3 linked regions of the Rhinolophus ferrumequinum genome follow. The protein of the gene in region 1 interacts with the protein of each later gene in a biochemical or structural test. Links are inferred from orthologs where the notes say so. Each region holds a gene or a part of one and is shown in the gene's direction. Other genes may lie near its edges.

Evidence for each region.
Region 2: of the proteins of MAPT (region 1) and GSK3B, one has a biochemical effect on the other in vitro, tested with the Homo sapiens proteins (21 studies listed by BioGRID and IntAct, with this or other methods). The link is inferred for Rhinolophus ferrumequinum from reciprocal best matches to the Homo sapiens genes MAPT and GSK3B.
Region 3: the proteins of MAPT (region 1) and SNCA form a complex in vitro, tested with the Homo sapiens proteins (3 studies listed by BioGRID and IntAct). The link is inferred for Rhinolophus ferrumequinum from reciprocal best matches to the Homo sapiens genes MAPT and SNCA.

The regions. Positions count from the first base shown.
Region 1 is NC_046304.1:40,899,213-40,909,795, forward strand, and holds the start of MAPT (microtubule-associated protein tau), read left to right. Parts: upstream 1-5,823; 5' UTR 5,824-6,067; intron 6,068-6,071; exon of another isoform or gene 6,072-6,162; intron 6,163-6,840; exon of another isoform or gene 6,841-6,946; intron 6,947-10,583. UniProt on the Homo sapiens protein: Promotes microtubule assembly and stability, and might be involved in the establishment and maintenance of neuronal polarity.
Region 2 is NC_046285.1:45,647,207-45,657,858, reverse strand, and holds the start of GSK3B (glycogen synthase kinase-3 beta), read left to right. Parts: upstream 1-6,544; 5' UTR 6,545-6,942; coding exon 6,943-7,030; intron 7,031-10,652. UniProt on the Homo sapiens protein: Constitutively active protein kinase that acts as a negative regulator in the hormonal control of glucose homeostasis, Wnt signaling and regulation of transcription factors and microtubules, by phosphorylating and inactivating glycogen synthase (GYS1 or GYS2), EIF2B, CTNNB1/beta-catenin, APC, AXIN1, DPYSL2/CRMP2, JUN, NFATC1/NFATC, MAPT/TAU and MACF1.
Region 3 is NC_046288.1:43,470,473-43,480,418, reverse strand, and holds the start of SNCA (alpha-synuclein), read left to right. Parts: upstream 1-5,838; 5' UTR 5,839-5,912; intron 5,913-6,393; 5' UTR 6,394-7,052; exon of another isoform or gene 7,053-7,057; intron 7,058-7,064; exon of another isoform or gene 7,065-7,203; intron 7,204-7,938; exon of another isoform or gene 7,939-8,062; intron 8,063-8,543; 5' UTR 8,544-8,568; coding exon 8,569-8,689; intron 8,690-9,946. UniProt on the Homo sapiens protein: Neuronal protein that plays several roles in synaptic activity such as regulation of synaptic vesicle trafficking and subsequent neurotransmitter release.

The DNA.
Region 1 (10,583 bases):
AAGACAGAAAGGAACACTTGAGCCTAAAGAATAATTATGAAAGAGAAGTCTAGAGAAATTAAGGCATAGATCTGTCTTACTTTATATAATTAAGGTGTTTATAAACTTGCATGTAAATCAACTCACATTTCAGTTGTAACAGGGTAACTGACATTTAAGGAAACCTGGTGATGGTTCCTTTTGTCTAGCAAAGCATTTGTCTGTAATGTTAATACTCACTTCCTAATTTAATTGCATTATATTGGTATTTCTCTATGTTGGCTTTGAGAGAGGACAGTAGGTGTCTCATCAAAGCACCATACCTAGCCCACAATTAGGCAAAACAAATACATTTGGGGCTGTCTAAACAGGCTGGGAATCTGGATCTCTGACTTTGTAACTGAAAATAAAGAAATGTTGGTCTTCAAGGCTGTCATCTGTCTCACTAGAAAATGCCTTATCATGAAAAGTATTTTCAGGAAAATATTTCAAAGGGAAAGAATGTGCTGCTCGTGCATAGCTAGGAGGAACTGCTAAGGGAGATGGCTTCTTAGCATAATTGTGGCTAATACTCCACATCTCCTTCTCCCCCTGTATCTGGTATTTACAAGTAGCTGATCACAAGGCCCTCTGTAATAAAGACTACATTTCCCAGCCTCGGTGGCAACAATGTGTAGCCATGCACATATTCTGGCCAATAGGGTGTTAGCAAGAGTAACAAGTGTGATTTATAGGAATTGTCCTTAAAAGATAGAGATGCTCCCTTTTTTATCTCTTCCTTATTTCTGGGGATGTGTTGTCTGGAGCTGAAGCAGCCACTTTGGACTAATGAGACAGCAAGCGAAGGATGATACAGAAATGAAATAAACAGATATGGGCTCCAAGAAGGTCTTAGAGTTTCTAAAACAGCCCTTGACTCCTATTCCTGGAGAAATACAATTGAGTCTTGTTTAGACCACAGCTGCTTCGCATTTTTGTCACACAGAACTGAATATAAAACGAATTGACCCAGAATTAAGGAAATGCTCATTTCACCTCATTGTAACCTTTATTTCATTCAATTTAATGGACTTATTAAATCCTCACTACATAGAAAAAGAAGATAAAGGCTGTTAACCTGAGGGTCCAGAAACTTGGAGACAAAAAAGTTCACCTTTATTTTTATAACCTGTATTGGAATTTAGCATTTCAGTAATCAATGTAGTATTAACAGTATCTGTGACTTCATCACTAATAGATATTTTCTTTGCACGGTACATGTGTCAGAGATATTTCAAAATGTCATTTATACTTACCCCTATTTGAAATTGGGAAAGTAATTAAACCCACTGCTAGATTTTATTATTTAATGCATTCATGAAGATGCAGGCAAGGTTCTCTGGGAAGCAGATTCTGAGACAGAGTCCAGCATGCGAGATATTTAGGCAGTACCCTTGGGATCGATAGCTGTGGAAGGGAGAGGAAGGAAGCAGGATTGTGCAAAAGGAGAAGTCAAGCTGTGATACAGGCCCAACCAGCCTCAGCGAACCACCTGGGGATCTCAGAACCCAAAATGGACCATCAGAGTTGCCCCAGGTTGAACATTTATCTGCCCACCTGGGTCGGTCAGCCATTAGATATGGGGTTACCGTAGACATCTTCTTCCCTGAGGGGTCGGTGCCATAGTCACCATGTCCTTCTGTGGTAAGCAGAGTAATGCCCTGATCAAAGATGCTCATGTCCTGACCCTTGGAACATATGAATAAATTACCTTATATGGCAAAATGGATTTGAAGCTGTGATGAAATTAAGAATCTTGAAATGAGGAGATTATCCTGGATTATTTGGGTGGGCCCAGTATAATCACAAGGATTGTAAGTGAAACAGGGAGGCAGGAGTGTCCCAGTCAGAGAAGATGTGACAACAGAAGCAGAGGTTGGAGGGATGTGATTGCTGGCTGGGGACCACCCACCAAGGAACAGGGCAGCACCCAGAAGCTGGAAAAGCCAAGGAAACAGACTCTTCCTCTGCACCTCCAAGAGGACGGCAGTCCTGCCAACACCCCATGAGGTTTGCTTGATGAGACTCATTTTGGACTTCTGACTTCCAGAATTGGAAGGCAAGGAGTTTACTTTGTTTTAAGTCACTAAGTTTGGGGTCATTGTTACAACAACAACAGGAAACTAAAACACTTTCTCAGGCTAGGGTGGACGTTTCTGTCTTTTAACAAAAGGGAATACCAAGAGGTGCCCAAGTGACAAATGTATCCTCCCCGTGTTTTGGTAGCAGTCCTACTTCCTGCGGATGATTGAAGTCGGTTATTCCTGCCAGGACAGTACCTTCTGTTCTTGCCTGCTGCTCTCTGGACCCAAAGTGCTCAGGCAGCAGCCATCGCTTATAGTTCAGTGAAACCTTTGCTGTGTCCCCTGGTGGAAGCTTCCCCTTTGGGGGACCTCTATCCCTGCAGAGCCTACACTAGTGAGGATGGGAAGCTCAGATTCCCCCCTGGGGTCACCTGGGAATGTTGGGAAGTGGGACCACTTCAGCTTCCACTCCTTGGTTCCTAGATCCATGTATTCTTTTCCTGTTTGGACTTTTATAAATTCTATAGGTATCGGACTCTTAGTTCCAATCCTACCTGGGACACTGCTACATAAAAAAATGGGAGCCCAGAGAAGTTAATGAATTTGTCAAAGATCACACAGCACAGCTAAGATTGGGACCCAACTCTTTTGAAACCTAATCCAGTTCTCTTTCCCTGTGCGATTCTACCTTCTATGCTTCTTTGTGATGGGCCTTGCGTGCTGAATTGGCCAGATCTCTATTTCAGCAAGAGGGAGGGGCAGGGAGAAAGGGAGAGGATGCATTTTCTTGACCTAGAGAGCCATTAGCTACCTCCAGTGATTAAATTATCTGGAATGAACACTCAGCTCCACATTACATACAGTTAAATGATGGATCTGCTTAAGATGGTTTCTAGCATTCATTACCTCAATTGAATGTAGGCAAATGTGTTCATTCAGTATCAGGAGATCACTGTGTTATCGGGTCCCAGTCAGTTCTTAAAGGAAAGAAAACGAGAAAATTGAATGGGAGGAGTGTTAATTTGACTGCTACAGTTTATTTTACATATAGAAAGAATGTATAGCCAAAGCACTGATGGGGATGCTGAAATAACTGCTAGTTATCATTTAATGGATGTCCACTATTTGTCAGGTACTTTACATGAGAAACTTTACACACACATACTGTGTATAAAATATATATATATACATACAGTTTAATATATATATAATATATATAATGGGGATTAAACTGTAGTTTTGCTGTGATAACAAACATCCCTCAGAATCTCAGTGACTCACCCTGTAAATGTCTATTTCTTGCTCATGTTACTATACATGTTATATGTACTTCCTTGTGTCTGTTCATTCTGGGACCTATGCTGAAGGAGCAGCCCCACAGGGCATGCCATTCTGGTGGTGGAGGGGACCATCGCGGTGGTGCAGGGGACAAGTAAAAGTGGTAGAAACTCACAATGCCTCTTAAAGCTTTTCGTTGGACATGTCTACATCATGCCCCTTAGTTCTAGTTGCCACAGACCACCACGTGGCCAGACCAAATATGAGTGGTCTGGGAGTGGAGAGTGGGAGCAGTACAGATCACAGGGTAACAGGAAAGGACAGATAATCCCCATACAGGAAAAGGAGAAAGGACACAATTGGCAGCAATAATGAAGCTGCAGTCTTGCAAGACTGATATTAATTCCTCTCTCCCCTTCACTTCAGAGATGAGTAACTTTGCTAAGCCTTCCTAGAGGAGATATCCCTTCCAGCTGGGGTGATTACAAGGCTTTAGAACATTTGAGCGAGGGTTTGAAGGTTAAATAGGATATTTGGTGCATGGAGAAAGAGCAAGGACTTTGTAAGCAGAGGAAAACCCCCGAGTTGAGGTGGGGAAGAGTTCCAATCAAACAAGCTAAGTTGGTCATAGAGTAGATGAAAGAGAAAACTGGAGAGGACAGGGGCTCAGATGAGGGGGTGGGGAGGGACAGAGGGTTTGAATGCTGAGGAATTTAAGGCTAAGAAGTTTCACTTCACTTAGGGGTCAGTTAGAAGCCTTTAGATATTTTTGAGCAAGAGAGTGTCGTGATTAAAACGATTGCTTCTGAAGATTTGTCTGATTAGGGGGTTCAAGGTGGGCTGATACAGGGAGAAACAGAGAGCAGGGAGACCGGTAAGGTCACTACATGTCCAGTGCCAAGGTAAGAGTCTTTAACGAGGACCATGAGAGTTGGGACAACAAAAAGGTCACCAGAGATTCAGAACGAGTCGTTTAAGAAATGTGCCCCATCTCTAGCATCCACCCAGTGCTTCCCCGTCAATAAAAAATTTTTAATAGCCTGCTTTTTGTATTAATCTATAACAAAAAATATTGATTTAAAAAATATAAATGTAAGAGCCATGCAAATTAAAGCTTCAAAACAAGTTCCCATCTCCCTAGGACAAGATGCCCCCCACCAAACTCCCATACTTATAAAGCCTCCCACTGCCAGGGCTTACATTAGATGTTGGGGAGACCAAGCTAAGATCCGTTCAAGAACCAAATTCAATGGAGTAGATTTTAAAGATCTAATTGGCTTTCTTGAGCAATGCATACATCAGGCAGCATCCCATCCAGCCAAGTAGAAAGGAGCCCTGAGAAGTTGGTAGGTTTTTATAGGCTGGCAGTGGGCAGGACAAGAAAGTTATTACCAAAAGGAAAGAAAGGATCTTTTCAGCCAAGGGCACTTTTCTTTGAGGGAAGGGCGGAAAGGGTCTTATTAGGCAGATTACCTCTCACTAGTGTTGATCAGGAAATTCCAGACTGATTGGTGGTTTAAAATTCCACTCCTGGGAGAGGCTGAAACTGCAATGAGGTATTTATTAATAGTTTTCGTTTTGGTGAAGTGGCATAGCACAAGTGACTCCATTTTGGGCATGTCATCTCTTTCTTCACAGGCCAATGCTGGGAACTGGGTGACCAGGAGAATGAAAACTTCTGGTCAGTTTCAGTGTGTTATCTAGGTGAGAATCTCCATGAGCACTTAGCACTTCCGATCTCAAACTCTACTTACAGTATAACCGTGTGTCAAGAAACAAGATCAAAATAACTGTATGTGTGAAAATGCTTTGCAATGTGATTAGCGCCGCCATTTGGACCTTTGTCTAAGATTTTATTCTCGGACACCGTTAAAAAATAGATGGAAATGGTCCTTGTTAAAAAAAAAAAACACCACAACACTACTCTTACAACTGAATTAGCCTGTTTGATGAGGATTGGCGAAGGAAAGCATTCACCTTGATCAATAACAAAAAAGATGGAAAAAAAGCAGGTTGAAAGGAAGCAGGCCCAGGGAAACTGATCTCCAACAAGGGGGACCATTTCCGGAGACTCAAAGGAGGGTCAGGGTGCCCGGTAGCGATAAGCCGGCCAAACTTGGAGGACTGGGGTGGACCCTCTGGGGAGCGGTCATGTGGAAACCCGCCCAGGACGTTCTGAGATAGGACATCACTCCCGGGACAAAAAGGAAAAGGGCAGCAGATCTGGAAGCGGAGCACCGCAGCCTCTTCCAACCACAGTAGGAAACCAAGCCTCCCTCCCGAGGGAGAAGACCCTTCAGACCAGACAAAGGGTCCAGCCGCCAGAGGTGACCCAGAGCACGCGTGCGCCACGGAGCGCGCGTGCGCGTGGCAGTCCGTGCCGCGGCCCGAGTCGTGGGGGGAGGAAAGACAGGGAAGGGAAGCGCCGGGAGCAGCGAGCCAGGAGGCTGGGGACAGCGAGCCGTGAGGCGCTCGCGCGCGCCCACTAGTGGCCGGAGGAGAAGACGCCTGCGGAGGCCTCGCCGCCCGCCCCTCCTCAGGGAAGACTCGCGTTCCCGCTGCTCGCGCCTGCGCCGCCCGCCGGTCTCGGGAGCGCGCCCTCGCTGGTGCGCGCGCTCGCAGTCTCCGTCACCCACCAGCTCCGGCACCAGCAGCAGCACCGCCGCCACCGCCCACCTTCTGCCGCCGCCACCAGACACTTTATCCTCTGCTTTCCTCTTCTGCCCTCGCTCTCTGTCGACTATCAGGTAAGCGCGAGGCTCCGAAAGGTGCCTCCCCGTCCGCCTCCTGCGCCCCCATGTTGCCGCCCCTCGCCCCCTGCCTCAGAGATGGATTTCCTGAGGTGAGCATTGGTCGGGGGCAACGGCGGGGGCCCCTCCTTGCGCCCTCGGTGCTCCGGGGCTGGGCCTGGGGTGGCTTGGAAACGCACCCATGCAAGAGATGCACACACGCGTGTGAGTGTGTATGTGTGTGTGTGTGCGTGTGTGTGCTGGGGTTCCACAAGACCCGCTTCGCGCGGACCCGGGCAGAGGTGCCCGCAGGGTGGGGCGCGGGTGGCGGTGACCTGGGGGAGGGGGCTGCTATACACTCTCAATCGCCGCCTTTTGCCGCAATGGGCGTGTGTCTAAGTGTGTGTCCGGGGGCGTCCAATGACGACCCCCGAAATCGATCTGGAATCCGATTTCTCTGTCTCGGTTTGCCATCAGCCCTAAGGAAGGTATGGATTGGGTTCTAGAAAAGATGACTCCCTGCCTGCCCCTCCCTTCACCTCCTCGGCAGCAATTCCAATGGGGCTTTTCGCTGTCCCTGATTTAAGGCGGTGGCCCACCTCCCTCCCCGTTTTCCTCCTTCAGAAACCCGCAGGGGACATTTGGGGGCTGGGAGTGGAATCGGGGAGTTGGGGAGGGGTCCAGGCGCTGTCACTTTAGTTGCCCTTCCCCCTGCGCGCGCCTGGCACCGAGACGCGAGCAGCGCTGTGCCCGAGAGAAGGCAGTGCGCGGAGAGATGTGGAGGCTCGAAAGACAGGGGTCACCTGGCCTTGCTCTGTGGAGGGACTCGGCCCCGCGGATCCTGCCTCGCGGGCGCTCACAGCCCCAGCCCCTCACAGATCGGCACAGAGGCTGCAGGTGCACTTCGGGGCGGTCCCCTTTCTCTGCGCTCTGCGCCCGGCGTCCGGCGTGTGCGCTCCCTGCCGGAGGCGCGGGGCTGGCGCGCAGGGCTCGCCCCTCACTGCGGCAGTGGGTGTGGACCCGGGTGGGCGAGGAGGGGGAGGGTAGGCTGTGCCTCCTCCCACTCCCACCCCCGCTTTTTTTCCCCCTCCGATCGCGAGGTGCCATCTTTTTGCGGCGTGCCATGTCTTTACGGTACCACACCAAGCCGGGTGGCCGGGCTTCGAAGGGCAAGGCGGGGACTGTCATTAAGGGTGGGTGGAGGGTGCATTCAGCGCTGAAATCGTGGCGTTTTGCTGCTGAGGGCTTGAGCTTTGGGGGCGTTCCCTCGAGATTTTCCTGGTGGCTCGCTGCTTTGTTTGTAGGGCTAACGTGATCAGCGTTGCCAGCCTGGGTTTTTGCCTTTTATTTTATAAGGGTGTTTAACCAAGGCCCCCCCCGCCCCTTCTCCCGTGTTTCGCCCCTCATTTCTGAGCCCTTTGTTAGATTTCGGGGCTTGCTGGAGTCGATGAACTCGAGTCACGGCCTCGGAGGTACGCGTGGAACCGGCTTGACCCTGCCCGGCCCACTATCAGAGCCAGGCCGCCCGCCAGGAAGCATCCGCGGGGCCGCAGGGGTGGGATTCCGGGTCTCCTTGCGCTGTGCGGGTGTCAGCGGAGGGACAACGCCCCTCCCCATGCCCCGAGTGTCCTGGGTCCCATACCCCACCAGGCTGCCCCCGGAGGGGCACCCGAGGGGGCGGTAGGAGGGGGCACGCAAGCGGGATCCCCTCCCCGCTTCACTCCCTGTTGCCTGGCCAGGCGGGAGAAAGTGAGGAGGGGGCAAGAGGTTTCCCCGGTTGCTGCGGGCCACACCCATTTTTCCGGAGCCGACTGGGAGGGGGTCGTTAGGGGAGGTGTTGCCTTGGAAACAACACGCGTCTTGAGAACAGCCTTTGGGGCGTTGCCCCGCCCCTTCCGATCGGAGAATTAGAACTCCCGGGTACCAAGAGCCGTGCCCCCTCTGGGGGCTCCGTAGGGAAACCCACAAACTGGAGCCGTTGGCTCTTCCTAATTGGCTTCCCGCGGCCATCGGCTCCCAGACAGGCGTCCCTGGTGTATTATTATTCTTGTGGCCGAATATCACTTATCACTTAGGAACCCGAATTCACTGCGGCCCTTGGAAAAGGGAACGAGGGGAGAGGAGTGGGGTACCGACCCCTGGCGAACAAGGCCGAGCCTTGCCCTTCTGTAACGGCCCGGGTCCGCGCGTCTTTCTGGTTAATTACATCGCTGAAAACTGGCGCGAGGGCGCTGTTCTGAGAGGGACGAGCATTTTAGGGGCCGAATCATCCACGCAAGCCGCGCAGATTGATCTGAATATCCGGGGAATGGCTCGGCTCGGAGTCGAGAGTCTTCCCCCGGGCCTGGCCAAACCTTCCCGGCTGTGGCTGTCAGGTCAGAGCCGCGGCTCTGCTCTCCCCTCCCTTCCCGCCCCACTCCCCGCCTCCGCAGAGCTGGGCTCGCCACCGGCAGGTTGCTGGACAGGCTCAAGGGTCGATTCCAGCATCTTTTCCCCTCTAGCCACCCTCCTCCCGAGCTGAACATGGGATTCTGGTTCCAGACAGAGTGAGGGGCGAGGGGCGGCCATGGAACTGGGAGCCCGCGGCCTGGGGCAGACCACAGGCGGGTGTCACCTCCTGTCGCTTGGGGGAAAGGGAACCCGGCGGGGGCGAGCGCATTTAGCCCAATACCTGGAACAAAGCGCCGTGCACGCGTTTGCGATTTCGCTCCATTTTGGGATCTGTAGGTGGCTTGGTGGAGTTCTCGGGTTTGCAAGGTCTGGGGGCTGTGAATGGAGGAATCCCGGCGGCCAGAGAATGGTCCTTCATACCCGATCAGGAAACTCCATCCCTGGCTCTGCGCGCGCTGTAACTAAACGACAACCCCCCAAGATGTGGAGGGATGCAGCGTCTGTGCACACGCTCCGACTGTGGAGCGCTGAGCCAGCCGGAAACGTCCTGTCTCGGAATCCCCAGCAGGTCGGGGCACTTTTACATCCCGGGAGACCCCACTTGGCCTTCGGCGCACAGGAACCTCTAACTCCAAGCCCGGGTCTTGGGCTGGTGCGAGTTGGGATGGAGGACGGCACCTGAGACAGCGACTGCCAGGCCTACGTGCGCGCTCAGGCTCAGCAGGAGGGCTTTGAATTTTTATCAGATCCCTTTCCCTCCATGTGACCCGTCCTCCGAAAGAACGAGAAATGCCTTTCCTGTCATAATTAATTAAGGGATTATTTTTCGTTTTGTGATGCTGCTTATGTTTACCACATAAGAATTGTTAATCCGTTTTCCCCTCTCCAAACCCTTCCTCTGAACGAATAAATATTAATAAAATAAACGTCCCTCCCGGTGCCCAGTCCAGAGTGAATATTGAAGCTAATCAATTCCTTGACAGACATTTATTTGCTTCTGGTTGGTTTTCTGCAATGACCTGGCTTGACTCTTTGGGATTCGCCTTTGGACAATTTGGGGGAGAGGTTTGTTGGCTTTGCTGTTTTTTGGATGAGTGACAGTCCATGACTGTGTGTCCATCCCTAACTCCAACCGGACTTGGTCTGCACACACCCATCATAGAACGGTGTGGCTTTTACGTGGTTTCTAGTATCAGGCACCGCTCCTGACAGGAACAAAAGAAATGGATTATTCCCACAAATTGCAAGAGGAAAACGTAGAATTGGTTTCCTAGAGGAAGGGTCAGATTTATTCCATGTGGAAAAGAGTTCCGTTTATTGAACATGCCCTTTGGCCCACATGCCCTTTGAGGTCAGTGCCAACCTGGAGATATAACAGGATTGTGGTGCCTTTCGTTTAGGTTGAATTTTCCTTCTGCCCTTTTAATGAACTTCATGAAGGTCATGAAGCCCATTTGTTGAAAATTTTAAGAAATTGTGTTCCTTCAGCATTTGTGTGTATGGTTTGAGTTGCTCCGTAGCTGTGTGTATGAACAGGTGTTAATTTTCTAATAGAACACATGGTAGTTTTCCAATTAGATTGTGCCTTCTATTCAGTTAATTAGTATCTTCCCCGCTCCCACTTCGAAAAAGAATCACTCAAAAACAAATAAAAACACCCGTAGGGGCTTAATACAGTGCCAGGCATACAATAGGTGTTTTGACCCATATTCATTTAACAACCGGATAAAATGAGAAAATGCAGGTCAAAAGGTAGAGAAGAAAAAGCAGAATGGGAGGAGGGCTTTACTCAAGGCCATGGTATCAGGAAGGTTTGGGGACAAATCCAATTCAGTTTGTCCCTAACTCTGTATCCAAATGACACTCCAAAAGTTGCCGGTGCCCCTCGGTGCTCCTCCCTGTCCTCCCCGCCCTGCCCCCACACCTTCACTTTCTCACTGCAGCACCCCCACTTATGGGCCCCCTCTTCTCACCTCACCCTTCTTGGCAGAAGGGCACAGAAGAGAGCAGAGGGGAGAGGTCACGCTTCACCGCAGGGGAAGGAAGACCCTGCTAAGGGTCTTGGGGCTGCAGGTGCTCCTTGGGCCAGGAGGTCAGAGGGATGGAGGTGGGAAATCCCATTTGCCTCTGTTTCTTCCTCCCC
Region 2 (10,652 bases), on another chromosome or scaffold:
TTGCTGATCTGTCTCATGTCTATTTGATTATTAGACCAGCCAGAAGAACTGTGAAAATAAAGTTTGTTGCTCCCCTATACTTTTCTACAGTGACAATGTCTTACATCTCCTAAAATACTTCTCATAATTCTCTATAAGAATTTGTCTATAAGACAAAACCCAATTTCTTGGTGGAACATTCAAAGCTCTGTCAAATCTGGCCACACATTACTTTTTAAACCTTATCTTCCATTGGTCTCCTCTATCAGCTTTTTTTCTAGCCAAACTGGTTTTCCTGAAGTTATACAACAGACTCACATGGTTCTTAATTCCTTTGACAGCTCCACCCACTTAAGAGTTTAGAAGGGGGTGGGGGTGTGTATGATGGGTTAGAAATGAAGTGGTGGAAAATAATTTGCTTCCTCTCCTTTCTTCATCTATTTAAGATCCACTTTAAAATGTCCTCTACCCACCCATTGTAAATAGGACAGTATGAGCAATTCATTTGAGTATGAGTACAATCATATTAGCAAATTTGTTCTGCCTCACAACTTTTTTGTGGATTCAAAATGTGACTTTAAATAATTATTTAACTTTTCATATCGTTATTTCCCCAAAGGATGAGCTCCCCAAGGGCACAGAGCTGTTCGTGTACTACTTTATATCAGATAGATGTCTTGCATATAGTATGTACTCAATAAATATTGCTAGTTTTATTAATTTAACTCATATTGCAAAGGGTTATCAGTAAAAATGTTAGTTGGAAAGCACTGCTGAGAAATTTGGAGTTTTTAAAAATTCCATGTAATCAGAAGCTTTCTGAGGAGTGTGTGAACCACAGTGAAAAAATGAGTTATTTTGGGGGCAATGTCCTTTAAAACCAAACAAACAGAAATTTATTGCAGAAATATTAAAAACATTTAAGGTGAATATTTTCATCTATAATTAAATATGCCAATATATTAAGAAAACTATTCTAATTTCTGTATTCCTTTTCAATCTTGATCCAAATGTATATATATTTTACAGATTTGGAAATATATAATCTGAAGTTCTATATTATTCAGTTAGTATTGTTTCTGAGTTGCTATGAGTCTTTGTATTTATTATTTTTACTGGTTGCATAATATGGATTTAATATAACATAATTTACTTAACCACACCTCTGTTAGCCAATACTGTCTTCCTTTATTTTCTCTAGGTCCATATTTTATATGGTACATAATTTCAAACTACCTCTAGCTCACTGAGGTCGGACAATTAAGTTTGCGTACTCATCCTAGAAAAAGTTCTCCATACCTCATTGCTGAATATCACTATGGTCACCTTCAAAGCATTACCCTTGGGAAGCTATGCACTGACGCCAGTGTCTAGTCCACCCTTCAAAGCAATTCTGGAACTCTATTTCTGGAATGGCTGTCAATGTCATCATATTACTCTTGATGTCCTGAATGTCATCAAAATTTCTTCCTTTCAATATTTTATCTTCGGGTAAAGAAAGAAGTCAATGGAGGCCAGATTAGGTGAGTAGGAAGGATGTTCCAATACAGTTACTGTTTGTTTACTGACTAAAAACTCCCTCACAGACAGTGCCGTGTGAGCTGGTGCATTATCGTGTCATGGCAAGAGCCATGAATTGTTGGTGAAAAGTTCAAGTCGTTTTTGTCTTTTTTACACAGCCTTTTCAGCACTTCCAAATAGGAAACTTGGTTGTTTGTCCAGTTGGTACAAATTTATAATGAATAATCCCTCTGATATCAAAAAAGGTTAGCAACATCGTTGCAACAAGTTCATGAACTTGATTGTCAGACCTCATATATATATATAATTTTATATAAACAGGATAAACAATGGTACTTTTTGATGGAGGGCAGAGTGATCTAGTAGAAAGCTGAATTCAAATTGACTGAGGTATAAATCCCATACCAACTCTGCCATTTACTAATTTCATGACCTTGAGCAATATATTTATTGCTCATCCCCCTCATCTATTACAAAAAGAGCTAGTAATGTCTCTCTTGGGGTTTTGGGAAGGATTGAACAGGCACTCAATAAATGTAAATTTATTTTTCCTACCTCTTAATCTTCACTTTGACCTTGATTGGAGGGCTTTCCTAGGGTTCATTACTAAATACCTTTCCTAGGGTTCATTACTAAATAACTCTTTTCTATCTCATAGTATCTGACTACAAGTACCTGGAGCAGAGACCATATCATATAAATTTTGAAGAGCAGCATCCAACAACATTCAGGTGTTTAACATATATTGGCTATGTAAATGAGGTCCTAGGAGGGGTTTGCTCATTTACTTCTGTTTGAAATGGTTGACTCTGGGTTCACCTAAATAAACAGCATCTTATATTCTCTTTGCTATCTTCCTTATTAAATGTGCTTATATTTTCTTCTAGTTGCAACTAAAACTTGAGCTAAGTGATTTTGAACAAGTCACTTATTCAAGTGTGTAGTTTCCTCATTTGTAAAAACATTAATAATTTAATAATAGTACTTCCTAAACATATAGTATTTTCTAAGTGCAAAGTGCTATACAAATACAGGCATACCTCATTTTATTGCACTACGCTTTACTGTGCTTCACAGATGTTTTTTAACAAATTGAAGGCAAAACCCTACAACCAGCAAAAAGATTACGACTCACTTTATTGCCATGATCTGGAACTGAACCTGCTATATCGCCAAGGTATGCCTGTACTTCTTATTACTACATAAGCCTGTTCATTGTGCATTTTAATTTATAATTATTCTTTTGTGGGCACACTCACTAACCTTTCTTTTTTTTTTCTACTACACTACTTAACCTGTTGTGTCCCACCCAGCTTTCCTACCTTTATCTTTCCCTAGTCCTTTGGTTTGTTACTGTGGCTCAGAATCACTTATCTCTGCAAGGGAAATCTAATAAGCCCTGGAGGAAACCAAACTGTTATAAACCAAACTAGGGGATATGTTCACAACCAGGCACAAACAGTTCAAGACATAAGGCTTAGACTTTAAGATAAAGCAAGACATACCAGGAGAGGTGGGGACTGCTTGAGAGAGAGAAGTGTGTATTAGAACAGTGAATCTGAATCCTGGTTCTACTTTAGCTCTGTGGACCTAGCAAGTTAGTAAACCTTCCTGGCCCTCAGTTTCTTCATCTGAAAAGCAGAGGTGATAACACTACTTACGTCATAAGATTATTATAAATTTGAGATAGTATGTGTGAAGCACTTAAGACCAGTGTCTGGCATATTGTAAACACTCAGCAAATATTACCTATTAAAATTATTACAAACTAGTAAGTGGTTAACAGCAGGTTGGAAGGTAAAGTGTTTGAAAATTCAGAGAAACAAACACTGAATGTTAATTTCATCAGTTCTGTATTTTCTCATAAACTTCTTCAAGTCCTAATTCTGGATTGAAACACTTTTTTTCCTATAAAAATTCCCCATGACTTGGTCAAATTTATTTTTTTTAAACAGCATCAGTTCAAACTATTTGAAGGCACCAACAATAATCAGTCTTAGACTATTTTTGTACTTTATTATATACAAAAGAATAGCCATGTTTCCAATTTGTATAACCTAAACATGTTATTCCCTTTCCCGCTGGTAGAATTGGGAGTATGGATGGGGAGTCCAGAGGGAGGCAGGACGTAAAGCGCCTCACAGCATTTTTAGGGACTAGTGACAAAGGTCATTCATTAACAATAGTTTGCATGTAGAGGCAACATTCATTGGCAAAGTTGCCATGCACTGAGTTTGCTTTTAACATTCTTTACTCTCCTCCATGACATCCAGAGATCTCATATTCTCACTTAATTGCAAAGAACAAGAGCCTCTACTGCTCTGGGGCTACAAAACCCATGCTCAGGTTTGAAATTACAAATTGATTGCATGTTGGCCACATTTACCCCAGGATGTTTAGTTTGGCCTTCAGGGTTTTGAAATACTGGTTGCTAACATTTAAAAATAGAGATATTTTACACAAATTAGGGTTTCTCTTGGGAGAGGGAAAAAAACACAGAATCTCTCAGAACACTGGACCTACATTCCTGAGGCCAACAATCTGCTAGATCTGAACAGCTGCTCCCTTCAGTTACAGCATGGACACTCCAGTTTGCCACATTCCTTATCATTCCTCATTGTCTTCCACCAGGCCAGTCTTACTCATATGCTTTACTTTTCTGACCCCTGTAGACCTGTCTGCAAACCCTACCTAGACCTTTTTTGCCTACCATCAAAGCTTAGTTTGTTTTGCCCTAAGTCCCTCATCAGTATGTCAAAGCAATAGCTACATAATTTGATTAGCCATAGGTATTTTTACATGTGCTTTCTGGAGATAGTATTTTAACAGAAAGAGATGACTCTTCAGGTGGAAATTACAATCAGGATAGCAACTGTCCATTCTACTTTTTCTGCTATCCTGACGTAGTCATACCTCACTGTCCTCAAGCAAACCAAAGGAAGTGGTTTTCTGCAGAACAACACCCGGCTCTATGTGAAACCTACTTAAATAATACTTTCATAGATCACCCTAGTTCCAAAGGACCAAAAGCTACTAAGGGCTATTCTGACTCCCCATTTCCTCGGAGGCTTCAGGATATCCGGCCTGATGGCATTTCCCTTCACCTGATTTTTGGGCCCGTTTTGCGCTGGGCAGTCGCGCCCAAGGAGCGCGCGCGCATCCAGCATGAGCTCATTTCTCAGGGGGCGTTTCCAGAAGGCCGGCCTGGCCGCGCGCACCAGGCACAGTCTCCCTCTTTCTAATCAATGGCCCCCACGGCTGGGCGTGGCGCTGCCTCTCTGAAAGCTTTGTTCCCACTCTAGCGTCTGTGAGCTCGCACCCCGCCGGGGAGGCGCCTGGATCCATCTGGCCCTTGCGGGGAAGACGCTGGTACTCGGGACGCGCTAGCCTGGGCAGAAGGGAGTCTCGGAGGCGCAGAATTAGCCGCGCCCCGCCTAGAGCCTGTAGTCGGTGGGGAGAGCCCCTAAGCCCTCTGCTCGCCTGAGCGCTCCGAGCTCAGCCCAGCCGACCGCAGCAGTTTCGGACCCGCTGTGTAGAGGGCCCGCGCTCCCTATTTGCGGTTTCCACATGGTCTGAGAGCCGCCGCCACGACCCCAGTCGAGCTTCTTCTGGCTCCTGGGACCGCCGCCGGAGGTCGGAGGCCAATCACATTGCAGCTAGGTCTTGCGATTGGAAGGCAGTGAGTGCCGATTGGCTATCGCTAGGGTTTCGGCCTCCCTCCTTTTCCCTTTTGCCCCAACTCTAGCTCCAAAGCTTCAGGCCAATGAGAAGGCGCTTTATAGACGCCCTCCCTTTGCTTTCTTCTCCCCTCCTTGGCGAGGGAGGAGACGTTGTGACTGGCCAGACTGTCCTCGGAAGCCCCCTTCCTTTCACCAATCACCAAGGGAGGTGCACTCCCAGCGGAGTTTTTGGCCAATTACAAAGCAGCCACGGAGCCCAGCCGTGCTGTTTCACCCGCGACTCGGAGTTTCACTGCCCTTAACTCTTCAGGCGGTTTCGTGAGGGCCGGCGACTCTGATTGGCCACTATTGCCACTGTCGAATTTCTCTAGCCAGCCACAAAACAAGACGAACCCACCTTTTTCTGGTTCGGGTATCTTCGGCATTTTTCGGACTTTGGGCGTGGATTTCCAGCGGCACATTCTAATTGGGTCCTTAGGTCCATCGGCTTTTTCCGGGAGGAGCCGCAAACATACGACGTCTGTGATTGGCTACGCTCAGGCTTCGGTCCTTTAGCAGAAGCGGCGGGCGCAGGGCTCGTCCGGCGATTCCCAGACTCCTGTTACGCGGGCGGCGGGGCGCTGGGTGGTGTAAGGCTGGGTGGGGGAGGAAGGAGGCGGAGGACGAGTAGGAGGGGGGAGAGGGAGTGGGGAAGAGCTAGGCGGCTGCGCAGACGGTTCTCCTCACACAGAGCAGCCCCTGACCCGGGCGAATGCGGGTTTGTGCTGCCGTCGCCGCCGCCGCCGCCGTCGTCCGGCCCCAGTGACAAAGGAAGGAAGGAAGGAAGCAAGGAGGAGTCGGCCCCACAGCCGCTGACAGGGCTCCGGGCTGGGGGCAAAGCGCGGACACTTCTTGAGTAGGCACCGAGCAGAGGCGAGGGGCGGGAGGGCGACCGCGCTGGTGCCGTGGACGGGGGAGGGGGCCCCGAGGGACGGAAGCAGTTGCTGGGTTCCCATGTCCCCGGCGTATGGGGAGCAGTCAAGGAGCCGCTGCTTGGGGTCTGAAGGGAGCTGCCTCTGCCACCGCCGCCGCCATGGCCGCTGGATCCAGCCGCCGCCTGCAGCTGCTCCTGGCGCAATGAGGAGAGGAGCCGCCGCCACCGCCCGCCTCTGACTGACTCGCGACTCCGCCGCCCTCCAGTTTGCCGAGCCCCCGCCGTCAGCCCGCCGGATCCCGCCGCTGCCGGAGCCGCAGCGTTTTCCGTCGCATCTCCGAGCCACCCCCTCCCTCTCCCTCCCTCCTTCCCATCCCCCTTCTTTTCAAGCGTGAGACTCGTGATCCTTCCGCCGCTTCCCTTCTTCATTGACTCGGAAAAAAAATCCCCGAGGAAAATACAATATTCAAAGTACTTATTTTCAATCAAGTATTTACCCCTGTTTCGCGTGATATATATATATTTTTAGGATTTCTCCCCTCCTCTCTCCTCCCCTCCAAGGAAAGGGAGGAGAAAGAATTGTATTTTTTTCCCAGCCCCAAATCATCTATATGTTAAATATCCAGACTGATCTGTCTTGAAGGAGAAATACATCGCTCGTTGTTTTATAGCTATACAAAAGGAGTGAAAAGCCAAGAGGACAAAGTCTTTTTCTTTTTCTTGTGGGAGAACTTAATGCTGCATTTATCATTAACCTAACACCCCAACATAAAACAAAAGGAAGAAAACGAGGAAGGAGGGAAAAGAAGGTAATTCGGAAGGAAAAGGTGATTCAGAAAGAGAGCAATCATGTCAGGCCGGCCGAGAACCACCTCCTTTGCGGAGAGCTGCAAGCCAGTGCAGCAGCCTTCAGCTTTTGGCAGCATGAAAGTTAGCAGTGAGTATTGATTTTATTTTACACCCCTTCGCCACCTCACCCTTAGAATAACACACCTTGAAATACCAGGATCTTCAAATCTTAGACCTCCTGATACAGCAATCAGGGGGAATGGAAAAAGGCAAAAACCTGTCTTCAGTCAAGGATGAGGCAGCTCCCTCTTTTCTCCTCCCATACTCCCTCCCCCGGTCTCATTAACCTTGAATTGAGAGAATATGCTTTTTATTTGGATGATTTGGTTTGCGCCTAATTTTTTATACTTTCCTTGCTGTTGATAGTCAGCTTCATCCAGTGCTTAAGTATTTCCACGTTAAAATAGTGATGGAAGTGTTTACTTGCTCATCCTTTTGGATAAAGAGAAGGGCAAGGCTTGATTCATAAACCATTATGTACGTTCGCTCAGTGTATGTCTTTTGGAATGAGGGATATTTTAGTTAGCTCAGGTCTCAGAGGTTGTCATAGTTTTGTATACTTAACAGAGAGACTGAGTGTCACAGTCTCCTAACATTTCTTTCTTGCTTAACGATACAAAGTATTTGTTCTTAATCCGGAAATCAACTTGCTCAGTAACCAGCATTAGCGTTGGGAGGCGAGCATTGATCGTTCCGTTTACAAGGGGCGGGTGGGAACTGATACACAGTAGCAGTAGTGTGTCTACATGCATTGTTTTAAATTGGATAAGTGGTTTAACGTGTTCTCTTAATCTTCCCGTTTTGACATTACCAATCTACCACTATGTAATTATGTTTAATCAAAAGATAACTTGGTCCAAGTTTTGATTGAGGTTTGTATTGTCACGTTGCCAAATATGAAGTTCAATGTTGATGTTAATTGTTATTGACTCCATCATTTAAGTTCAATTTTGGGGTGGCCTTTGCATTCAGTACTTGTTACATGAAGAGTTCAGGGGTCCCTTCTTAGGACTATTTAAAATACTCTTGCATTGGTTTCCTGTCACATTTAGATAAAACTGTGGATTTAGTTATAAGATGTAGATCTTTCCATCATAGGTTTTGCAGAAGGCTGTGATCCTGGATAAAATAGGGAAATTTGGGCTGTGTTCAGGGATGTTGCTAGACTGTATTCTTATCCCAGATTTATACTGAAAAGTCTGTGTTCTTGAGGTGTTAGTATACTAAGTGTCCAATGTTCCAATGTATCTCTATTTGTGGTTATGTTTATGTGCTATTTAATGACAGTTTATTTAAACATATGTGCAGAATTTAACAAAAATATAGCTTTATGTTCTTATTCCTGAGGAAAGGGGCATGATTAGGGTAACGAAAAACTAGTTTGTTGCCTAGAAGAAGGAGAGAATGAAGAACTGAGATTTTTTTTTTTTTAAAGTATATGCTGGTACGTGAAATTGATTATATCTTTAAGCAACATAAAATGATTTTAATTGAACTCAGGCTTTCAAGTCATGTTGGCCTTTGGAACTTGCCAGAAATAGGGTAGTCTAAGGTAATAGCTGAATGGAAGATTATTTTTGAAAGTTAATTTTTTTTTTTTTTTGGTGACTGGCTTGTACAGAATGCAGGGTATGTGAAGAGGGAAGCTGATGATGCATCTTTCAGGGAAGGATCAGGCTTTCTAAGCACTGGGGTCATTTGAAAGGAATATTTTAAAATTCTGGGGTAATTTTCAGCTATGATGAAGCAAATTTTGTAATAGCTACTTAAGAGCCTCTTGTGGTAGTGGAGTGTTTGCTTTTCATCTTGGTAATATAGTTTAAAAACCACTCAAAATCAATTTTCGGTAATTAATTTATTAAATCTGTTTTAGAGAGCCAAGTAGAATAGCTTACGATGTTAAATTTTTGGACTTTTCATTTTGTTTCCAGGATTTTGTTTGAACAAGACTCTTTAATTCTCGATAGTGTGGATGTTGGCTAATAGGGGAACCCCTTATAAAGTGTGTAGGTTAAAATGTTTAATTATCTGTTACCATATAGGTCAACTTAACATTAAAAAAGCTGGAGTTCAGTGCTAATTGTTTTTGACAACATTGACTTTAAGGACATTTTAGAAGGGAATTGCTGAACATTGGTTAGAGTGCTAGTGTTCTAAGGGACCCCTGTTCAGAAGAGATACATGAGAAATTGTAGTCCGTGGCCTCAATAGCTTATGATTTAGTTGTAGAGGCAGGTTATAAAGACAAAAGATGAAAACAATATGGTGATGACTGTAAGTGTATAAATACAAATATAATGCTTTTTTCAGAGGGACAAACAATAAATGGGGTGAGGCAGATGGGTTGGAGAGGGAAGACTTCCTGCAGAGGTGTGTTTTAAGACAGGTGTTAAAGGAGGCGGTAACTTCAATTGACAGAGAAGTATAAAGGATTCTAGATGGAAGGAATGGACAGAGATACAGAAAATGGTGATTTTTGTATGACATGTAAATGATTTTTGTACTTACTAAGCAAGTAGGTAAATTTGAATTAAAGGGTCCTAAATTGGAAAATAAGAAGTGATGGAATTTGAGAAATGTGTTCATATTAGCTGGTGGGGGTAGAAGGGGTCTGTAAGAGTTTGGTTGAGATTCAAGAGAGATTGGAATTTACTGTAGATTGTTTAACAAGATTTTGTAGATGATTTGGGTAGCTGAGTTGATGGATTAGAGTAGAGACATTAGAGCCCTTTTAAGGAGATTGTAGGGTATGTTGTGAATCCTGAGGGAATATAAAGTAAAATGTGAAAATGGGATGAAAAGAACACATTTGAGAAAATAGTGTGAGTGAAGAAGTGGCAGGATTTTGGATTGGATTGAAGGGGAATATTTGGGAAGGAGTCAGGAGTTAAAAATAAATTCTGATGTTATTGGTCTGGAAGACTTGACCGCCAAGTTATATTGTTGATTGTAATGGGAAGGTTGAGAAAGTGCCGAGATGAGAGGGTAGATGAGTTCACTTTTTAAAAATTTAATATACAATAGATTCCCTTGAAATTCAGCAGACATCAGTTGGTTCCAGCCTATTAAAATTGCAGTTTCTAATTTTTCTGCACCTAAAAATGTTGGATTTATTTTTGGGAGTAGTAAACTAAGTTTTTATTTAAATGCTTTCCATTAAAGTCTTAAAGAAGAACATAATTTTTTATTTAGATTCACATAAAAGCCTCACACTTGAAATCTACTTGTAATAGTTCCATGGTTATGTATATGATAACAATGAAAATATTTTTTTGCTGTGACCTAAACTGTGACTTAGAAATTTCAGATATTTTACATAGCCTTGAAGCTTTGGTACAACTTAAAAAGTTTTTGCATAAATAATGATTATTCTCAGGTAAACCTTGCATTTAAAATAATGGTAGTAATAATAATAGCAGCCTTTTCTGGATTCATGAAAGCTTCAAGCAGAAACTAAAAGTTGATTTTGTAACAAGTAGTTTTTACCTTTTTTGTTGAGTTAAGCATTCACCCCAAGTTTAAATCAGTATATTTGAAATATTTCTTTTTATTTACTGTGGTGAAGCCAACATTTTTTATTTAATGAATGTTATTAAATAAATGTTAATAGCTAATAATTCACATGATATTATACTCAAAATAGAGAAAGTAGGACTGTCTATGGTGATTTTAGTTAAAATATTAGTAATAAATCCTTTGGTATAGGTGAA
Region 3 (9,946 bases), on another chromosome or scaffold:
TAAGCCATTAAATACAGGTCCCTCTCACATTTAAGAAGAATTGGCAAATTCTTTCACTACTGTTCTTTCGTCTGCATTATATGTATATATGTGTGTGTCTATCATATTATTTGTCTATAGTTTAATGATCTTGTAAGTGTATGCTAGTTCCTTACTTGAAAATCAGCTGCACAATTTGAGTAACACAAGAGAGAATTTTGTATGAATCAGTTTTTCCTTTTGATGATTACATTACGTGAAGATGTTTGAATGCTATTCTTTCTTTGTTATACATGTATTTGAAGACATACCTGTGAAACATCAAGTTAGATTTCCTGTAGGAATTGGAGATTTGCATATTTAATCTGATCTATTTCTGCACTTTAAATATTGATAAGGTAAAATAAAAATTCATAGCTATTTGTTCATAACTATTTAATAGCTACTACTATCAGAAAGTCATTTATGGTGAATCTGATTACTTGTAGTTTCTCCTAATCCTGACCAAAAAAAACCTGAAACAAAACAGCTTTTAATCCAACATTTTAATGGGGAAAGTTAACAGGAATTTAAACAGGAATGGACTCAAAAAAGAGTGAGAGAGACTTAAAGAAAAATCATGGTTTATCATAGAGAAGTTGATTTAAGAGGAACTGTCATGCAGGGCGGCAGGGGGGTCTCCTGTCCTGCTCTCCACAGAAGAACGCAGGACATGGTGAGGCCAAAAAGGAACACTCATGGAGCCATAGATAGGGGAGTCATACCACTATATTCTCACTGGTGGCTGGGTTAGAGACATAGGAAACAGGAGCCACACAATCCGCAACCCTCACTCCACTGCTTGCTAGCTCAGCCACCATCTTCTTGCTAGCCCCCATTTGCTCCTAGCATAGTCACAGCAGTTATATTAGTGGCCAATGGCTCATTGGTTACAGGTGATGGCCAACTAGCCATCCAATCACAGTTGATGGCCATTTACTACCTGAGCCAGCACCTTTCCACGTGAGGCCGAGAGCCTGGAAACTGCGCTCCTGGCTCTGTCCCCACAGGAACTCATGAATAATATTTAAATATTTATGAAGAATTATTAGACTGAATATATAGACAAGTTCTTGTCCCACTTTTGGGAAGATAATCAGAGAAATTTAACTCAAGTGATGTTTATAAAAATTAAAAATAGACAATTGATTAAATATATGTTACAATGTAATGTTTTATAGTAAAAATGACATCACAAATCTGTATTCATTGACATGGATAGTTTTTGATGTTAAAGTATTTATCAAATAACCATTAAGAAACAATTTCTTCTCTGAACAATTTCCCTTTCTTAATCTCAATGATAATGTGTGGTAACAAGCTATCAAAACATTAATGATATGCTTTTTAAATAGCGTGGAAGAAAATATCTAAATGCCACTGCATATGCAAATTATCTGTAGAGAAAATATATTAGACGCCTGGATAATTTTGATATTATATGGAACATGCTCCTTTTATTAGTTTCCTATGATTTCTCTCTTGGCAAAGGCATTATTTCGGTCCAAAACACTGCGCAAATCATTATAAATTCCCCTGAAATGTTTTTTTATCCATTTATTTTCTGCCTTTCTGAACACAAATGCAGTTGAGACGCAGAAGTAGATCTGTCATTGTCTTATCAGTCTGTCCGTTCTTCACTCACCTGGAACATTAGAGGCTGAGTTTATCTCTGAATTGGATATTCATTCTGAAGCCTTTTTAGAGCTGCTGTCACAAGTCTGGCAAACTTGGAACACCATTTGTTACATCATTTTATTTTGCTCCCTCGGCAAATCAACAGAATTTATACAGAGCTCTTACACTGCGCCTTTAAAGAAACCAGGCTCCAAGAATATAAAACTGTCAATAAAGATAGAGAATATTAATTCTACCACTGTCACTATATTTCTTCGGGCTACTGATGTGATCTGCTGTGAATGATGTTACTGTAATCCACATGTAGTGCAGGGGATCCTGCCGACTACGCCAAGTGTCGTGCGGGGTGTCAGGCGGGGTCTCTGGTCCCACTCCCCACACAAGAACGCAGGACATGGTGAGGCCAAACAGGAACACCCACGGAGCCATAGGTAGGGGAGTCACACCACTATACTCTCACTGGCGGCTGGGTTGGAGACACAGGAACCAGGAGCAACACAATTCTCAACCCTCACTGTGCCGCTTGCAGACTCAGCCACCATCTTCTTGCTAGCTCCCCCTTTTTTTTCTTTTTTTTGCTAGACTAGCCACCGCAGTTATATTCATAGCTAATGGCTCACTGGTTACAGCTGACGACCAACTAGCCACAGCTGCTGGCCATTTGATCACAGTCGATGGCCATTTACTACCTGAGCCACCACCTTTCTATGTGAGACCGAGAGCCTGGAAACTGCTTTTTGGGGCTCTGTCCCCACACCACATATTAGGGTGAAAAAAGAGATTTTGGGCAGATTTTATATTAACGACTCCTATCAATGCTCCTTGAATCCCCCCATACTATCTCCTCACAACTTCCATCCATGGTGGGAAATGTTTTACCTAATACCATAGTAAGCCAAAGTTATTGATGAGGAGGCATTAGAGAACTTAAGTGTGTTTAGGGTGAGATGGGAGGTTGGGGGGGGGATGGGAAAATGTTGAAAACTACTACAATGAAAAAAGTATTTCTTAAGGCACCCTAAAACATGGGGGGCTAGATAATAACTACTTGTATCGACAGATTCCACTGTGCTTTGTTCTTTACTAAAACTATATTATTTATTCTTTACAACAATCACACAAGTAAAATGTCATCCTCATTTTGTCAATAAGAAAATTAGAGATTTAGAGAGGTTAGATACTTGCTCTGGATTAGTGATACCAAGTTTAACTTGTATGCAGTTTCTCCACTCTTAGAAGTCAACCATGTTCACCAGGTTGTAGTGCGTTTCTTGAACTCATAAATATATTTCTCCTTCTAATACTTATCTCTACTTTTTCGATCCTAAAATATTTAAATATCTCTTCTGTCTGACTTTGAAGATTTTAACTTGGATTCTTGCATGTCCTCATAGCTTTAGTACCACAAAAAGCACAGGGATATTTAAAATGATATACAATTTAATTTTACATACTTTGCATGGCACTTTCCTGTGGTCACAATTTCTACATTGTTGAGGATATATTAATATTATCATATTAATAAATATGATAAACCATATTATGCTAGAATAAATGTCCATTATTTTGTGCTGCCAACAGTACTGTAACAACAACATGAAGTTGCCCCTGGTGTCAAACTAGAGAATCTTCTTTGAATGCTATACTCCCTCTTCATTGCTCTTTATATCTCTTTCGAGTAACCCTATTGCCCTGTTTCAAGCTCAGCCTCTTTCCAAAATCATACACAATGCCATCCCAACTATATGCATTAGGCTTTCCCCTCTATGCCTACTAGGAAATTACAAGGGAGCCAACCAAGATCTCACTACCTCATATTTTTCATACATTTGCATAACATGAGAGGAAGGTGCAAAGAGAAGATAAGAAACAGATTAAAATCTCTTTAATCACTCGGTCAGATTCCTCATTTTTCACATCATTTCATTGCAGCACAAGCTTACTACATGGCACACCTAAAAATCCGTGTTTAATGAGAAGACAAAGAGAGTTTAGGTTAACTATGCATTTCATAGAATGTTAATCTGTAACTAATTTACTGTATTAAACTCAAATACAACAATCCTATATAAGAGTAGCAAAATATTTAGAATTCATTTGTCAAAGAGAAAGCCAATCATGTATGATGTACACTAACAAGACGTACACATTAGTAATATTTCCCAATAGATCATTCTTCTATATCCCTTATGAGGTACAGGCCATTCAATAAGATTATTTTCAAAGTTATATTCAGAGAGTTAAAATTTTACTCAAGGCCATGCTATCAATCAATGATGAAAAAAATCTTTAGTAGCAGTCAGTTCCCTTCTTTGTTCTTGAGTAGTTCTGCCGCTTTACGAATACAGAGCTAAGAGACTACAGGTAGAACATAAATAATGTCACTATTAATATTATTAGTAATTAAAAGTTTATTGATTGCTTACTATGTTCAAGGCACTTTAAGGGGCGAAAAGAGGAGTGAAACATAAACTTGTAATTTAAAATGACAAAAAAATTGTTTTGCATTTTTGTGCGTGTGGGGGTTGTGAGGAATCATCTCCCCCTGCTGAAAATGACCAATATAGAAAAGGCAAAATGTCAAATATGAAGGCACTGTTTTATAATAACATAAATTCTCCTGGATTTCCATTGTCACATCCAAATTTAAAGGTTATTTCTAACACAGTTGGATCTCACCTTTTCCCTCCCATTTGATAACATAACCCATCTGTAAGGTTCCAGAGAGTAAATGCTAATTCTGGAGACAAATGTGCCTTCTGGAACAGTTCCTGCTAGATTATCTCAGCTCTGCTACTCAAGAACTAGATAATCTAGTTCTGTTACTGAAAATTTTTTAGCTTCAGATTCCGTCTATAAAACATACATAATGAAACTTAACTAACCCACTTGTTATGATTAAATAATATAGTACATCAGTCCTTTGCCAAGTACAATTTAAAGGTTTGGAATCATGCTGTCCTATAACAAAGACAAAAAAGTAACGACTGCTCAAAATAATTCTCTCATTGGTCTGCAGTGGGGCCGAAAATATCAGTCATTTTCTCCCCTTCAGAGGTTCCTGTTAAACTATAAATATGTCATATGAAATAATATATTAAATAATTGTCATAACAGTCTATCAAGGGACCTAGCTGTGATGGGTCACAGTGGAAAACATTTATCATTGTCAGTAATAAAAAAAAAATAATAATCAAGAGCAATAAAAAGAAACAAACTACTGATATATGCGACAACATGAATGAACTTCACACATTATGCTGAGTGAAAGGAGCCAGATATAAAAAACAACTTCATACTGTAGGATTCCATTTTTGAAATTCTTGAATATGTACAACTAAGAAGGACAGGAAGGAACTTTCTGGGGTTGTGAAACTGTTCTGTCTTCAAAATGGTGTGAGCTACATGAATGCATATGTTTTTCAAAACTAATTTGAAGACCTTAAGATTTGAGCATTTCACTGTCTATAAATTATACTTCAGTTAAAAAAAGACCATCTGAACATTATTGTTATCCATTTTTAGTTCTTATCTGTCATGGATGCATGGTGAAATATTTACAGATGAAACAGACATATGTAATTCTTGGAATTTAGTAAAAAATGCAGAAGGAGAAGTGATAAAAATTGGAAAGTGGACAGGCATACAGATGATTAGCCATAAATTGAAAAATGGTGGAAGTTGGGTGCTATTCACAAGAGAGTCTTTTATTTTCTCTACTTTTGTATATGTTTAAACATTTTCCATAATAAAAGGTCAAAAAGAGAAGTGTTATTTGGGTTAACTCCTCATTTACAAGAAAACTGAAAGAGGACAAAACTTGTAGAAAGTCTCAAAGCCAGACAACAAACCAATTTTCAAGTTTAACCTTCTTTTCTCTGACCCCAAGGAAACAACAGGAGAGTTTTGGAAAGGCTACTTTTAAAAAGGGTAGACCAGTGATGCAAGGAATTGTTTAATCAATAATGTATACTTGCTTCCTGTCCCTTTCGGTTTCAAATGGTTGTTTTGTAGATTTAAATTGCATTTTACTCAGATTTCAAACACAAGTGAGTGCAAGGGTGAAAGAACACACCCCCACAAAATAAATAAATAAATAAATAAAAACGCATCGCAAAGACTTATTTTTCCCTTCCAGTGCTAAAAATCACCCTCCCAACCAGGCAAAAAAAAAGCAAAGACATTCTGTTAGGAGGAGCTTGGATCTCCATTCGGTGTGATCCGGGAACAGCTTTTTCCCTCCAGCTCTGAAAGAGGTGAAAATGTATTGAGCAATGCAATAATTGTCTTGAAGCCTGCGCGGGTTTGTCGCGTGTTTGTGTGTCTCCGTGTGTGTGTGTGTGTGTGTTGGGAGAGGGGGGGTGTCAGCTCCGAGGACAGCGTGAATCAGGTGTCAGAAAGGTGAGTGGTGTGTAAAATCGCGGTTTCAGAAGAGATCGAAGACGAAATTGGATGTAATGGTTCAGGAGCATAAACCACGCTAGGTTTGTCTCCTGCACCAGGCACTTGAGTCTTCAAAGTAAATTCCATTTCGATGTCTAAAAGCCTTACGACCACTTGGTTTCGACGGCTAAGGAATATTTATTCCTTGTTCAGCTGATGGGAAAACCTGCGTCTGGCAGCCCCTGATTGGTGGAAAAGAAAATGGTGATAGTGGAGTGGGAAGAGGATTTGACAAGCCTTCTCCTGCCTCCTCAACCTGTAACTCTTCCTTATTTGTCTCCTCTCTACCCGCAGGGCCCTTTCGGGTACAGGCAAGGTTCAGAGCAAACGAAAATAGCGGATATTTAAGCAAAAGCACCCTTAACGTTGGGTCCTACGCTCATTAATCAAATTTCAGCGATCCGAGGGAAACGTGCTCTTGGCGGTGCCAATGTGAGCAATCTTGAGCTGTCTCCTTCAGCAGCTCCCCAAGAGCTTGGCTCTATCTTTGGTGGTTGATCCCTCAGACCCCCACGCCCCCAGGTAGGTTCTGACCTGGGGGTCCCCGTGAGGATCCAGAAGGAAAGGCAGAGACAGGGGAGGGAAAGAGGTAGAGAGATGTCAGCCAAGCTTAACGGCTCCGGATCGCCCCAAGAGTCCCTGTGACTCTGAACTTGAGGTGAAGCTCAGAACACCCCCACCTTCCCGCCTCCCAGGACCAGGCGGGCGGCAGGAGCTGAAGGTACAGCATTCCCCCCGCCCCCACCCCATCTCCTCCCCATCCAGAAGAGGAGTGAAGTGCAGGCAGCGCGGAAAGCAGCGAGAGGCAGGAGAGGGGCGGGGAGAGGCGCTGACAAATCAGCTGCGGGGGCGTTGAGCAGAAGAGGAGGAGGAGGAAAAAGAGGAGAAAGACCGCGACGACACGAACGGACCCGAGAAAGGGGGCGAGTGACCGAGCGAGCGCGGGGACGCGGGTGAGGTGTGTGCTGGTTTCAGCGCCGACCTGGGGGCCCAGCCTTGCCTTTAGCATCCTTCGTGCCTTCTCCCCGCCTTCCTTTCCATCCCTCTATCTCTTTCTCTGGGATCCTCTTGTGCGGGGTACGGGGAGTGGCTATTCGACGACAGGTTCGTGGGTTGCCTCCCATGCCCCTGGCCTCTTATCGCTGGGTTGTGCTGACAGCGGCCTCCTCTGGGGACCATCCTTCTTCTGGTGCCGCTTCGCCCCTTCCCGTGCGCTCCTTACCCACCCTTTTTCCATTTAAATAATATTTGGGAATTGTTTAAATTTTTTTTACGGGGTGTGGGGTGGTATCGTAATTCTGAGGAACAGAGGGACTCGGATAAGTACCTGTGGATCTGAATGGGCAGCTTTGGAAAGCCTGGAGAACACCTGGTGGGAGAGGAGTCATTGGCAAGGAGAGGACGCCTGGCAAGGGGGTTGGTGCTGCAGGCAGAGAGGACCCGTTCTATCTAATTTAGGAGATGGGTATGTCCCTTTGGTCGCTTGAAGAAAGTAAGTGAGTGACCAGGCTTTCCTCCAGCTTTACATACTTCCCTCGTCTTGTCCTCAGAAGCTGAGAGGTCAGGCTTCTCAGGGAATCGCTTTTCCTTTGGGAAACGCAAGGATGTTGGATGGAGCGTGAGCATCCAACTTTATTTCTCTCTTATCTTTTAACACCCCAGCACGCCCTCACGGTTCTCTCAGTACAGTAAACAACTACCTGTGTTTGGCAAATAATTAAATGGAAGTGCAGATCGGACAAGTCAACAGGTGGTAAGGGGTTAACAGGTGCGAGGCAGGGAGTAGGTTTACGCGCGCGCAGAGAACACCCCCTCCGGTGTCGGGCGAGAGTCTCTCGGCTGCCGGCGGGTGTGAACAGGCGCCTGCTCCGTGTAGATAGCTGAGGGCGGGGGTGGATGGTCCTGTGGATTAGAGCGACCGCGGGTGGGCTCTCAGAGGGCCTGAGGTTCAGCCACACCCAGGGTGAGTAGGTCTCTTCCCCGCTCTCCCTGGTCAACCTATTAGCCCTCTTCTTGGATTCATTTTAAGTGTCCTTGACCCCATGCCCCCAGCTCCCTTTCTTTCCCTGTGATCTATCTTCTAAACGTACTTCTAACTTTATACTGCCACCGTTTGGACCCTGGGAAGTTGAAAGAGGGGTCCATCTTTTCATGCACCTCCACTTTGGAAATGCAGCAAGAACAGCTGAGATGATTCATCCTAAACCATGTTTAGGCGGCTAGACTTTTACTAGCCCAGATGGATAGGGGTGCTAAATTTGTTATGGAAAAGCTGAAAGAAAAAAGAAAAAAAAAAAAGACTTCATTATCTAAGGGTACATTTAAAAGAGTCTCACCCTTTGGGGAGTTTTACTGACCTTTCAGGGGATTTTACTTTGGGTGGTTATAGTTTTGTTTTGTTTTACCCAAAAGTTCTCATTCAAAGTGCATTTTGTGTTCTCCAGTGTGGTGTAAAGGAATTCCTTAGCCATGGATGTATTCATGAAAGGACTTTCAAAGGCCAAGGAGGGAGTCGTGGCTGCTGCAGAGAAAACCAAACAGGGTGTGGCAGAAGCAGCAGGAAAGACAAAAGAGGGTGTTCTCTATGTAGGTAGGTAAGCCCCAAATGCCATTTTGGTATTTATTTATGACTGATGGGTTAGGATAATTGATGCTCTCAATGGTAGTATTTCTCACTTGATTCATTTTTTCTTCATCACTTGTCAAAAGGATAGACTGAGTCAGAGATATGTGACTGTGTATGTTTGAGCTAATAGCAAAAAGTGGGTCTAATCTTTTATTTTTCCAGATTATTGAATTTCTCAATAAAATTTAGGACTTTTTTTGTTTCTTTTTAAAAATGTTTCCATGCATAAATGACTATATTTCAGAGGATTTTTTTTAAATCAGTCTTTTAAAAAATAATCAATATTTTTAAGAATCAAAATCATTCATGGGTCCTTGACTTCTTTTATTATCCTGAATAATATTTGCTAATTTTAGGGTATTCTTTTTTTTTTTTTTTTAATAAGACCTTGAAATGGCCATGGGATACCTAAAAAGAGACCCACTATGGCCCGGAAAAGGAAAGGACAGAACCACCTTTGGGGGAGTTATTCCTGTGACCATTTGGCAAGCTAGAAACTAAGCTCAAAGGACTGCTTGAGGGCTGCTACTAATATCTCAGAAACATTTATATAGTTCATTTATCCACTGATACATATAATAAATAATGAGGTTGTTGCTTATCATTTCTACCTGTTCCTAAATTCCCACCTTGGAGTATTCATGCGGACCCTGACTCTCTTTTTCTTATCTTGAACTATTTTAGGTTGCGTGTTATTTTACAAACTTTAAATTCTTTGGGGGAAGGAATACACATATATACACAGTTATCCACAGGGACACACACACACTCAGTCACAGCCCATTCTGCCTCTCCTCTCCCCTCCTGAGTTTTTCCATATTCTCTGGTGGCCCTGGCCGGTAGCAGCAGTAGCCACAGAATGAGCAGAAAGGTGAAGGATGAACATATTGGGTGCCATGCCTATCTGTGGGGTGACAGAAACCTACACTGTCTCTCTAACAGAGATGGGCTGGAGAAAAGTTATACTTAGAATGATTTTTATGAATGCCTCTCATATTTATTTTCTCACTGTTCATAAACTCTTCAATGTGGGTTGATCTTACCACAAATCTTCAGTTAAATTACTTTCTAGATCTGAACACATATTTTTCAGAAAATCATTGAATTAAAATGTTACAAGAGAAAAAAAATCGATGAGTTAATTTTAAGTTTGTTTTGTGTGTGTGTGTGTGTGTGTGTGTGTGAAGTGTGAATTTTTAGAAGGAATTTGGAATGCTGAAT